Canis lupus familiaris: one gene and its partner. The protein of the gene in region 1 purifies or fractionates together with the protein of each later gene. This does not show direct contact. Links are inferred from orthologs where the notes say so. Each region holds a gene or a part of one and is shown in the gene's direction. Other genes may lie near its edges.

Region 1 (4,412 bases):
TGACCTTAGGCAAGTTACTTAACTTCTGTTTCTTCATATGTAAAGTGGGGGACATATAATAGTATTTTAGAAGGATGACCTATACATGTATATATAGTATACATATACACATTATATCTATACATGCATACATATGTTTAGTAAAGTATGCATTCAACATCTATTTTTTTTTTTCAACATCTATTGTATACATTTGTTATATCAGAGTATATAACGCGTATTATATGACATATATTTTTATATTTCGTTTCACATAAATTCTACTTTCAATTTTCTTTCTGGCTCTAACTTTTCAGAGATTTAGTTAATAGTCCTTTCTTTCTCATTTGCCCCAATTCTCCCTGCCCTTATTCCCTTACCCTATTTCCTCATTTTCCAACTTTTTTTGGCTCCTATTCCTGTCAAAATTGGGTTTAATAAACTCAAGAACCGTAAACTATACACTTAAGGCAGTTGCTGCTTGCTATCTTTCTCCTTTTGAGGCTCCCCACCAATCTTTACAACTTGGTTAGAATTGCAACTTCTGATCTGAAGAAACGGCACTCAGAGTTTTTGGGTTTATTTGCAACATGGGTACAAATAACTGGGGCTTATGTACCTAGTTCAGAAACCCACTCCTACTCCTTCCCCACACTTGTGATGAAAGAATAATCCTGTTTGCAGAAGAAATGCCCTACTGTCCGTATTCTCAGCAAAAGTTATCAGAGCTACAAAAAAAAAAAAAAAAAAAAAAAAAAGAAAAAGAAAAAGAAAAAAGAAAAAGAAAAGGCCTTGGTATTTAAGACTCAGTTCAGCTCTTCTCTTTTCCACTCTGGGAAACCTCCCTTTCAAAAGCCTTCCCAACCAGGTGGTGTTTGATGTTCCTGACCCTGCAGCATTTTTAAGAAAGATCAATGATCAGGAAGCAAGACCATGGGTTTTGAAGTCAGATACCTCGGGCACTTACACATTTGGGTATTTTTTTTCGCTTTTCCGAGCCTGCCCTCTGGTTTGTAAATTGCACGGGGTATTATCTGCTCTCCATGGTTTCCTCTGCGATGAAATCTTTCCTAAACCCATATCCGTGCTCATTTCCCTTTCATCTATTTTTCTTCCCGGGTTAGCTTTCCTTTGAAGCAACGGGCAGTCCCGCTCTTCGGGTCTTGACTCTCTAAGTCGGCCTCGTAGCGAGCGAGCGTAAGCTCCCCGAGGCCAGGGCCGGCGGGGTAAGCCGCGCACGGCCTCCCAGGCTAACCCGTCGCCGCGCCCAGTCCCGCCTAGCGCCGGGGGCTCGGCGGGAGGGCGGCGAACAAATGCACACCACCACCGAGGCTGGGGCGGGGGGAGCCGCCGGGAGGCCGTTCCCACCGCCCGCGGGGACCGCGACCCCCGCCCCGCCCCGAGCAGCCCTTCCCCCTGACGCCACTCGCGGGCGGGACTTCCGGCCGCCCAAGTTTAACCGTCCGGGCGGGAGCCGGAAGCCCAGCGCCGGAGCGGGCCGCGCCGTGGCCCCCGGGGTGCCGCGGTGGAGAGGTGAGGTTCCGGGGGGCTCCGCGCGCTGCCGCCCGCCGCGTCCTTGCTCGCTCGCGAACCCCGCCAGCCTTCCGGCCACCCCGGGGAAGGGTCGGAGGCCCCCAGGCCCCGCGCGCCCCGGCCCGTCCGGTGCTCCGGACAGTTGTCGGGCAGGGGCCGGGGCCGCGGGGTTGGCGCGGAAGTGCCCGGGAGCCGCGGGCCGGGGGCGCGCACCTCGGTGGGCCACGGTCCCCGGCTCGGCCCTGAGAGGTGGGCGGGGTCGCGGGGGGGGGGGCGAGCGGTGACGGGAGTGGGGTGCTGTCCCCCGGAAAGTTGGCCGCCTCTCCGCCGGCCGCCTCCCCCTTGTAGCTCGCATGCACCTCGGGCTCGCATGCACCTCAGAAGGTAACCCCGGCTGAGCAGTTCTCCTGCGAGGAAAGTGCACTTCGGGCGGAGGAAAGTTGAAGAACTTCTGTTGCAGCGAAGGGCTGTGGTGGATTGTGGGTTTCCGCCCTGTAGGCGCTGCCCCTAAATTCGGGTGGGCTGTCGCCTGCCGCCTCGCGTCCTGACCGCTCACTTTGATGGGACCTTGTTGGAGACGCTGATGTAATCAGTGCGTCTCCGTTAGGAGGTGCTCGGCTCCCCGAAGGCGCAGGTGGGGCAGGTGCCCCCCCCCGTCCACTCGAAGAGAAGGGAGCGGACATCCAGTGACTGCCGCGGCCCCTGGCCCCTGACTTGGGGGCCGATCCTGTGAACCCACTTTTTCTCAGCCTTCACTTAAATGTCACCTTTCCGCGCTTACACCACACGGCTCAGCAGGAGGGTGTACGATTGTAGTGAAGACATTTTTTCCCCAAGTTGTGTGTACTGGGTTTAAGAGACCCCCTTGGCAGCATGCACTTGCACCTTGAGCAGGGAACCAGCCGCACGTTACCACGTGTCGAGGCCCCAAATCCAAACACGGCCGGTCTGCATTTCAACAGATGACTGTCGGCGTTTGGAAACATTGAACTTAGCAGATGCGTGAAGCATAATGAACCCCATACGTGACTGTCCTGGTTAACAAAAGTTTTAGTCTTTTCATAAGCACATTAAAAAAAATTCTTTTTTGTCTCTTGAGAATCAAGTGGGCCCCATAATTTATTACACCTTTTAACTTGGCCTCTGAAATAAGATATACTGGACATAAATGTGATGCTTTGTTGGTGACTTGGGACTCTGTGACATCACTAGTATTGTGTTGTAGTCTTAACACTCCACACCAGGAAGGTGTGGAGGGTATATAGTTCTAGGCCCTGTTCCCTTCCTTTTTTCCGTATATTTTTGAGCAATTTTTTTTTAAGATTTTATTTATTCATGGGAGATACACACACAGAGAGAGAGAGAGAGAGAGAGAGAGAGAGGCAGAGACCTAGGCAGAAGGAGAAGCAGGCCCCCCTTGGGGACCCCAATGTGAGACTTGATCCCAGGACTCCGGGATCAAGACCTGAGCCACCCAGGCGTCCCAAGCATTTTTTACTGACTGGTCTGGCATTGCTTCTACTTGCTGTTCTTGTGTATTTGAATTATTTACTGTGAACAAATAATATGCATGAGGGCATTGTAGAACAAATATTGGTATAGGGACTTAGTGACATCTCTTTTGGCTATATTTGCTAATTTTGGAGTTATTGGGAAAAACTGGAGTCATTGGATTCTGACCCGCAGGGATGTTACAGTTTATCATACATTTTTAAAAGACATAAGAAGTTTTCTAGCCAACAGTTATTTGATTACTTGTGTGCCAGGAACATTTCAAGACTGATCGTAAACAAAAGACAAAATCCATTTTCAGGATCTTTGTTTTGTTCAAGTCAGGAGAGGCAGACATTGTTAGGAGAACAAATAAGAGTTGCAAATAACAGAAGATGCCATGAAAAAAAAAGAATGAAACTGCATAAAGGGTAACTGGTATGGGCTGTGTTAGCCATGGCGGTCAGGGAAGGCTTTTCTGAGGAGACATTTGAGCTGAGACTGAAGTGAGGTGAAGGAGATGACCAGAGGAAATCTGGGGAAAGGACATTCCAGGCAGAGGGGGCAGCAGATGGAAAGACTAAGGCAAGAAGGCCTGTGAGTCTGGTGGCCCTGGGGAAGAGGAGTAGGACAGTTTCACCGGAGCCAGGTCATGTTAGGCATGCCAAGGAAGTTGGATTTAGCTATAATTGCTGTGGAGAGCCATTGGGAGGGTCAAATGAGAGAATGTGATTTTAGAAGGATCATTCCAGCTACTCTGTGGTGAGCATCCCTTCTGGAACAAAAGTGAACCAGTAGAGCCTCTTGATTTAGATTAGATCCTTCATTTTGGCCTGTCCTTGATTACTTTTTTTTAAAATATATTGTTTTGAACTATTTGTAGGTGCAGTCATGCAGGAAAACCTCAGATTTGCTTCATCTGGAGATGATATTAAAATATGGGATGCTTCATCTCTGACATTGGTGGATAAATTCAGCCCACACACATCACCACATGGAATCAGCTCAATGTGTTGGAGCAGCAATAGTATCCTTTTTTTTTTTTAATTTAATAACCACTTTTTGTTAGGTTAAATAACTGGTATCAATGAAACTTTTACATGTGCCTAATAAAAAATACATTTTGCATAGCTATGAAAGCTAGATAGATAAAGTGAAATAGAGGTTTCACTTTATTGTTTATTATAGGTGCATCCTAAAAATATATATATTTTATATATGTATAACTATTATAACTAGATACAGACCATATAATTAGTTTTGTTATCAACAGTTCATCATTGAACCCTAATGACATAAGGTAGGTAATGGTGAGAAAACTTCTGAAAGATTTTGGAATGAGTTTTCGCATCTACATTTGGCTATTTATGGATCTGGTCTGTATTAAAATTAAAGACAGAACTCAAAGG
Region 2 (3,434 bases), on another chromosome or scaffold:
CACCCCCTATGCCGCCAACCTGTCCTTCGCCCTCAAGTTCCTGCCCGAGGCGTTTGCTCCCAACGCCCCGGACGTCCTGAGCTGCCTGGAGCTCAGGTACAAGGTCAGCAGGGCAGAGCCGAGGGGGCCAGCCGGGGGGCAGCCCCATCGGGTGGGGGGCGTGCTAAGCTGGCTTCACCCCCAGGTGGACTGGCCCCTCAACATTGTGGTCACCGAGGGCTGCCTGAGCAGGTACAGCGGCATCTTCTCCTTCCTGCTGCAGCTGAAGCTGATGATGTGGACGCTCAAGGACATCTGCTTCCACCTCAAGCGCACAGGTGAGGCCAGCCGGCCCCGGGCGAGCCCCGGTTGGCACCATGGCTGACCCTCTGCCCTCCCACAGCTCTGGTGAGCCAGGCCGCCGGCTCCGTGCAGTTCCGCCAGCTGCAGTTGTTCAAGCACGAGATGCAGCACTTTGTCAAGGTCACCCAGGGCTACATCGCCAACCAGATCCTGCACGTCACCTGGTGTGAGTTCCGTGCCCGGCTGGCGCAGGTGGGCGACCTGGAGGAGATCCAGCGTGCGCACGCTGAGTACCTGCACAAGGCGGTCTTCAGGTGAGCCGCTGGGCCTGCGGCCGCTCCTTGGGGCCACGTGGGGGAGTGGGGGGCGCCCCCCACTGGCAGCTGCCTGCTTCCCCAGGGGCCTGCTGACGGAGAAAGCTGCGCCCGTTATGAACGTCATCCACAGCATCTTCAGCCTTGTCCTCAAGTTCCGTAGTCAGCTCATCTCGCAGCCCTGGGTCCCGGCCAGCGGCCCCCGGGGTGCTGAGCACCCCAACTTCGCTCTCATGCAGCAGTCCTACAGCACCTTTAAGTACTACTCCCATTTCCTCTTTAAAGGTGACTGTCCCCCAGGGCTGGGTGGGCTTGGGGACAGTGGGCAGGAGCCAGCCCATGGGCCTGGCTGAGCTGCCCCCCCCCCCCCCCCAACTAGTGGTGACCAAGCTGGTGAACCGAGGCTACCAGCCCCACCTGGAGGACTTCCTGCTGCGCATCAACTTCAACAACTACTACCAGGATGCCTGAGGCTGCACCGCACAGGTGCCCCCCACCCCTGGCGCTTCCTCCTCAGGGGGCGGGCAGGGCAACCACACGGAGACGGGCCAGGGGGAGAGGCTGGTTTATTGGGGGCTGTGTCTCCCCATTAGGAGCCACGTGTGCCAGCCCCTCCAAGGGTGGCAAGGTGGGTGGGGAGGCCCCACCCCCTGGGCCTGCTTCCCTCTGCTGAGCTCTTGTCCTTGCACAACGTGGCTTCTGTAGGGAGTGCACTGAGCGTGGGGTGGGGCTGCTGAGTCTGCATCGGACAGAGACAGGTCAGGGCCTGACTGGACGTCTCGGCCGTCATGGAGAGACGGGGTGGGCTTTCCACAGGTGTGCCCCGCCTCAAGGACTCAGGGGGCCTCAGGGCCTCGGGGCTCCATGTGTGGAGGCCTCCAAGGCCGTTACGAGGATCACGTCACACACAGTTCGGCCGCCCACAGTGGGGGCTTGCTGCTGTAGGAGTGCCCCCCACTGTCTGCCCCGCTGGCCCCCTCGGGCTCCGTGGCCTCCGGGACCCGAGCAGCCTCCTCGGCCCTGTGGTAAGGGGTTTCCAGAAGCTCCAGCACCCGCCGTACCTGGAGAAGGGTGGAGAGGAGTTTTAGGGGCTGCCCCTGCCCCGGTTGTCCTCCCGCGGGACCCAAGGACGGAGAGGGGACGGGGGTGAGCTTGCCTCTGAGAAGTCTCCATTCTCTGCAGCCTCAATGGCGTTTTGTGCGATGTAGTTCCGCAAGACGTACTTGGGGTTGTTGGCGTGCATGACGCGCATGCGCTCAGCCTGCCAGGCCTCCTCGTCGCTGACGCCCTCCCTGTCCTTCTCCAGCCGGGCTCTGGAATCACATCCAAGTTGTTCTTTCCAGCAGATTCCGCCTCCCCCGCACCACTCCTGTGTTGGGCTCCCTGCACGGGGTGGCGTCTCCTGGGAACATGGCGCCCTGAGTCCGCGCCCGTAGCCTCACCTGTACTGCTGGAGCCAGTCAGCCCAGTGGCCCTGGTTCTTGCTCAGCAGCTCGGCCGGGCTCAGCTGCTCTAGCCGTGACTGCTGCTCCACACGCTCCAGCTCCTTCGTGACGTTCGCCCGGGTGCCGATGAGCGCAAAGAGCTGAGGGTTGGACTGTGCCAGCATCAGCATCATCGAGAGCTGCCTGTGCAGAGGGGCAGTGTGAGGCGCGTTCCCACCCTTGGCTGGCGGGGCACGGAGGAGGTGGCAGCCGCTTTAGTGGCTCTGCTGTGCCAGAGCTGGCTGCCCCCCAAGGGGGTGACCCAGGCCTGACCAGCGAGGTGGCCCTTCATCCTGGCTCTGCAGCCCTTTCATGTCACGGGACGCGTGTTCCCTGAGGGGGCAGGTGCCACGGGCGGGTAAGGGCACCATCTCGCTACTGCTGGGCACCTGCTTCTCCCTAGGGCAAGGTCACTGCCGTCCGCTTCTCCATGGTGGCCACGAGGCCATGTCCTTCCCACTTGCAGAAGAGGTGGGGGGGGGACCTGGTCCTACCAGCTGGTCCTCCATCCCATCAGCCTCCCCCCACGCTGCTGCGCTAAATTCTCTCAGACCACAGTCTGTTGGCTTGTTTATTAAAACCCACAAACAGGGCTTCTGGGGGCTCAGTGATTGAGCGTCTGCCTTCGGCTCAAGTCATGATCCTGGGTCCTGGGATCGAGTTCCACATGGGGCTCCCGCAGGGAGCCTACTTCTCCCTCTGCCTGTGTCTCTGCCTCTCTCTTGGTCTCATGAATAAAATTTAAAAACACGCTGCTTCCGGGTTTGAGTGTGGGCTCAGACACCGTGTGCTGCCCGCAGTGGGAGAAAGTGTGGGAAAGCATGGGCTGGGGGGAGCCTCAGGGCCCCAAGCTCTTCTTGGGAAGCTGCTGCCCAGCCTGCTCCACCAGCCTCCCCATTACGGTGGCTGCGCTGCCGTCCCTCCCCCGGGGGCCCGAACCCTCCCTGCTCAAGCTGCCTCGGCCAGCTCTCCCTGACGTTCCCCAGGGTCTACATGGTCTCCCTCTGGAAGCAAATTCTAAGAAGTGAGACCCAGGTACCCACCGGGGATCCATCTGGGGTCGGAAGGCGAGCTTCAGCTCCTCCAGGGAGGCACACTGTGCGGTCAGCGCGGCCAGGAACTCGGGCAGGCCCAGGGCCTCCGGCCCAACTGGGAAGGAGCTCAGCACGTAGAAGGTGTTTGTGAAGTCAGCTCCTGGAACGCGGCAGTGCTCAGGGTGCCGGCAGACGGAGGCACAGGTGGCCCACCCACCCGCCCCTGGCTGGGCCACCACTCCACGCCCCAGGTCCTTCAGCTGTGCGTCAGGTCCAGGCAGCAGAGGCATGCAGGTCAGGCCCCGGCCACCCCTGCTGTG

The links.
Region 2: the proteins of NEDD1 (region 1) and TUBGCP6 purify together in Homo sapiens (affinity purification with mass spectrometry; 3 studies listed by BioGRID and IntAct, with this or other methods). This does not show direct contact. The link is inferred for Canis lupus familiaris from reciprocal best matches to the Homo sapiens genes NEDD1 and TUBGCP6.

Annotation. Positions count from the first base shown.
Region 1 is NC_049236.1:36,842,157-36,846,568, forward strand, and holds the start of NEDD1 (protein NEDD1), read left to right. Parts: upstream 1-1,382; 5' UTR 1,383-1,512; intron 1,513-1,741; exon of another isoform or gene 1,742-1,761; intron 1,762-3,886; 5' UTR 3,887-3,894; coding exon 3,895-4,030; intron 4,031-4,144; exon of another isoform or gene 4,145-4,303; intron 4,304-4,412. UniProt on the Homo sapiens protein: Required for mitosis progression. Promotes the nucleation of microtubules from the spindle.
Region 2 is NC_049231.1:17,930,278-17,933,711, forward strand, and holds the end of TUBGCP6 (gamma-tubulin complex component 6), read left to right. Parts: coding exon 1-103; intron 104-184; coding exon 185-317; intron 318-382; coding exon 383-596; intron 597-681; coding exon 682-881; intron 882-975; coding exon 976-1,067; 3' UTR 1,068-1,082; exon of another isoform or gene 1,083-1,483; coding exon of another isoform or gene 1,484-1,657; exon of another isoform or gene 1,658-1,752; coding exon of another isoform or gene 1,753-1,909; exon of another isoform or gene 1,910-1,939; 3' UTR 1,940-2,038; coding exon of another isoform or gene 2,039-2,224; 3' UTR 2,225-2,673; downstream 2,674-3,434. UniProt on the Homo sapiens protein: Component of the gamma-tubulin ring complex (gTuRC) which mediates microtubule nucleation.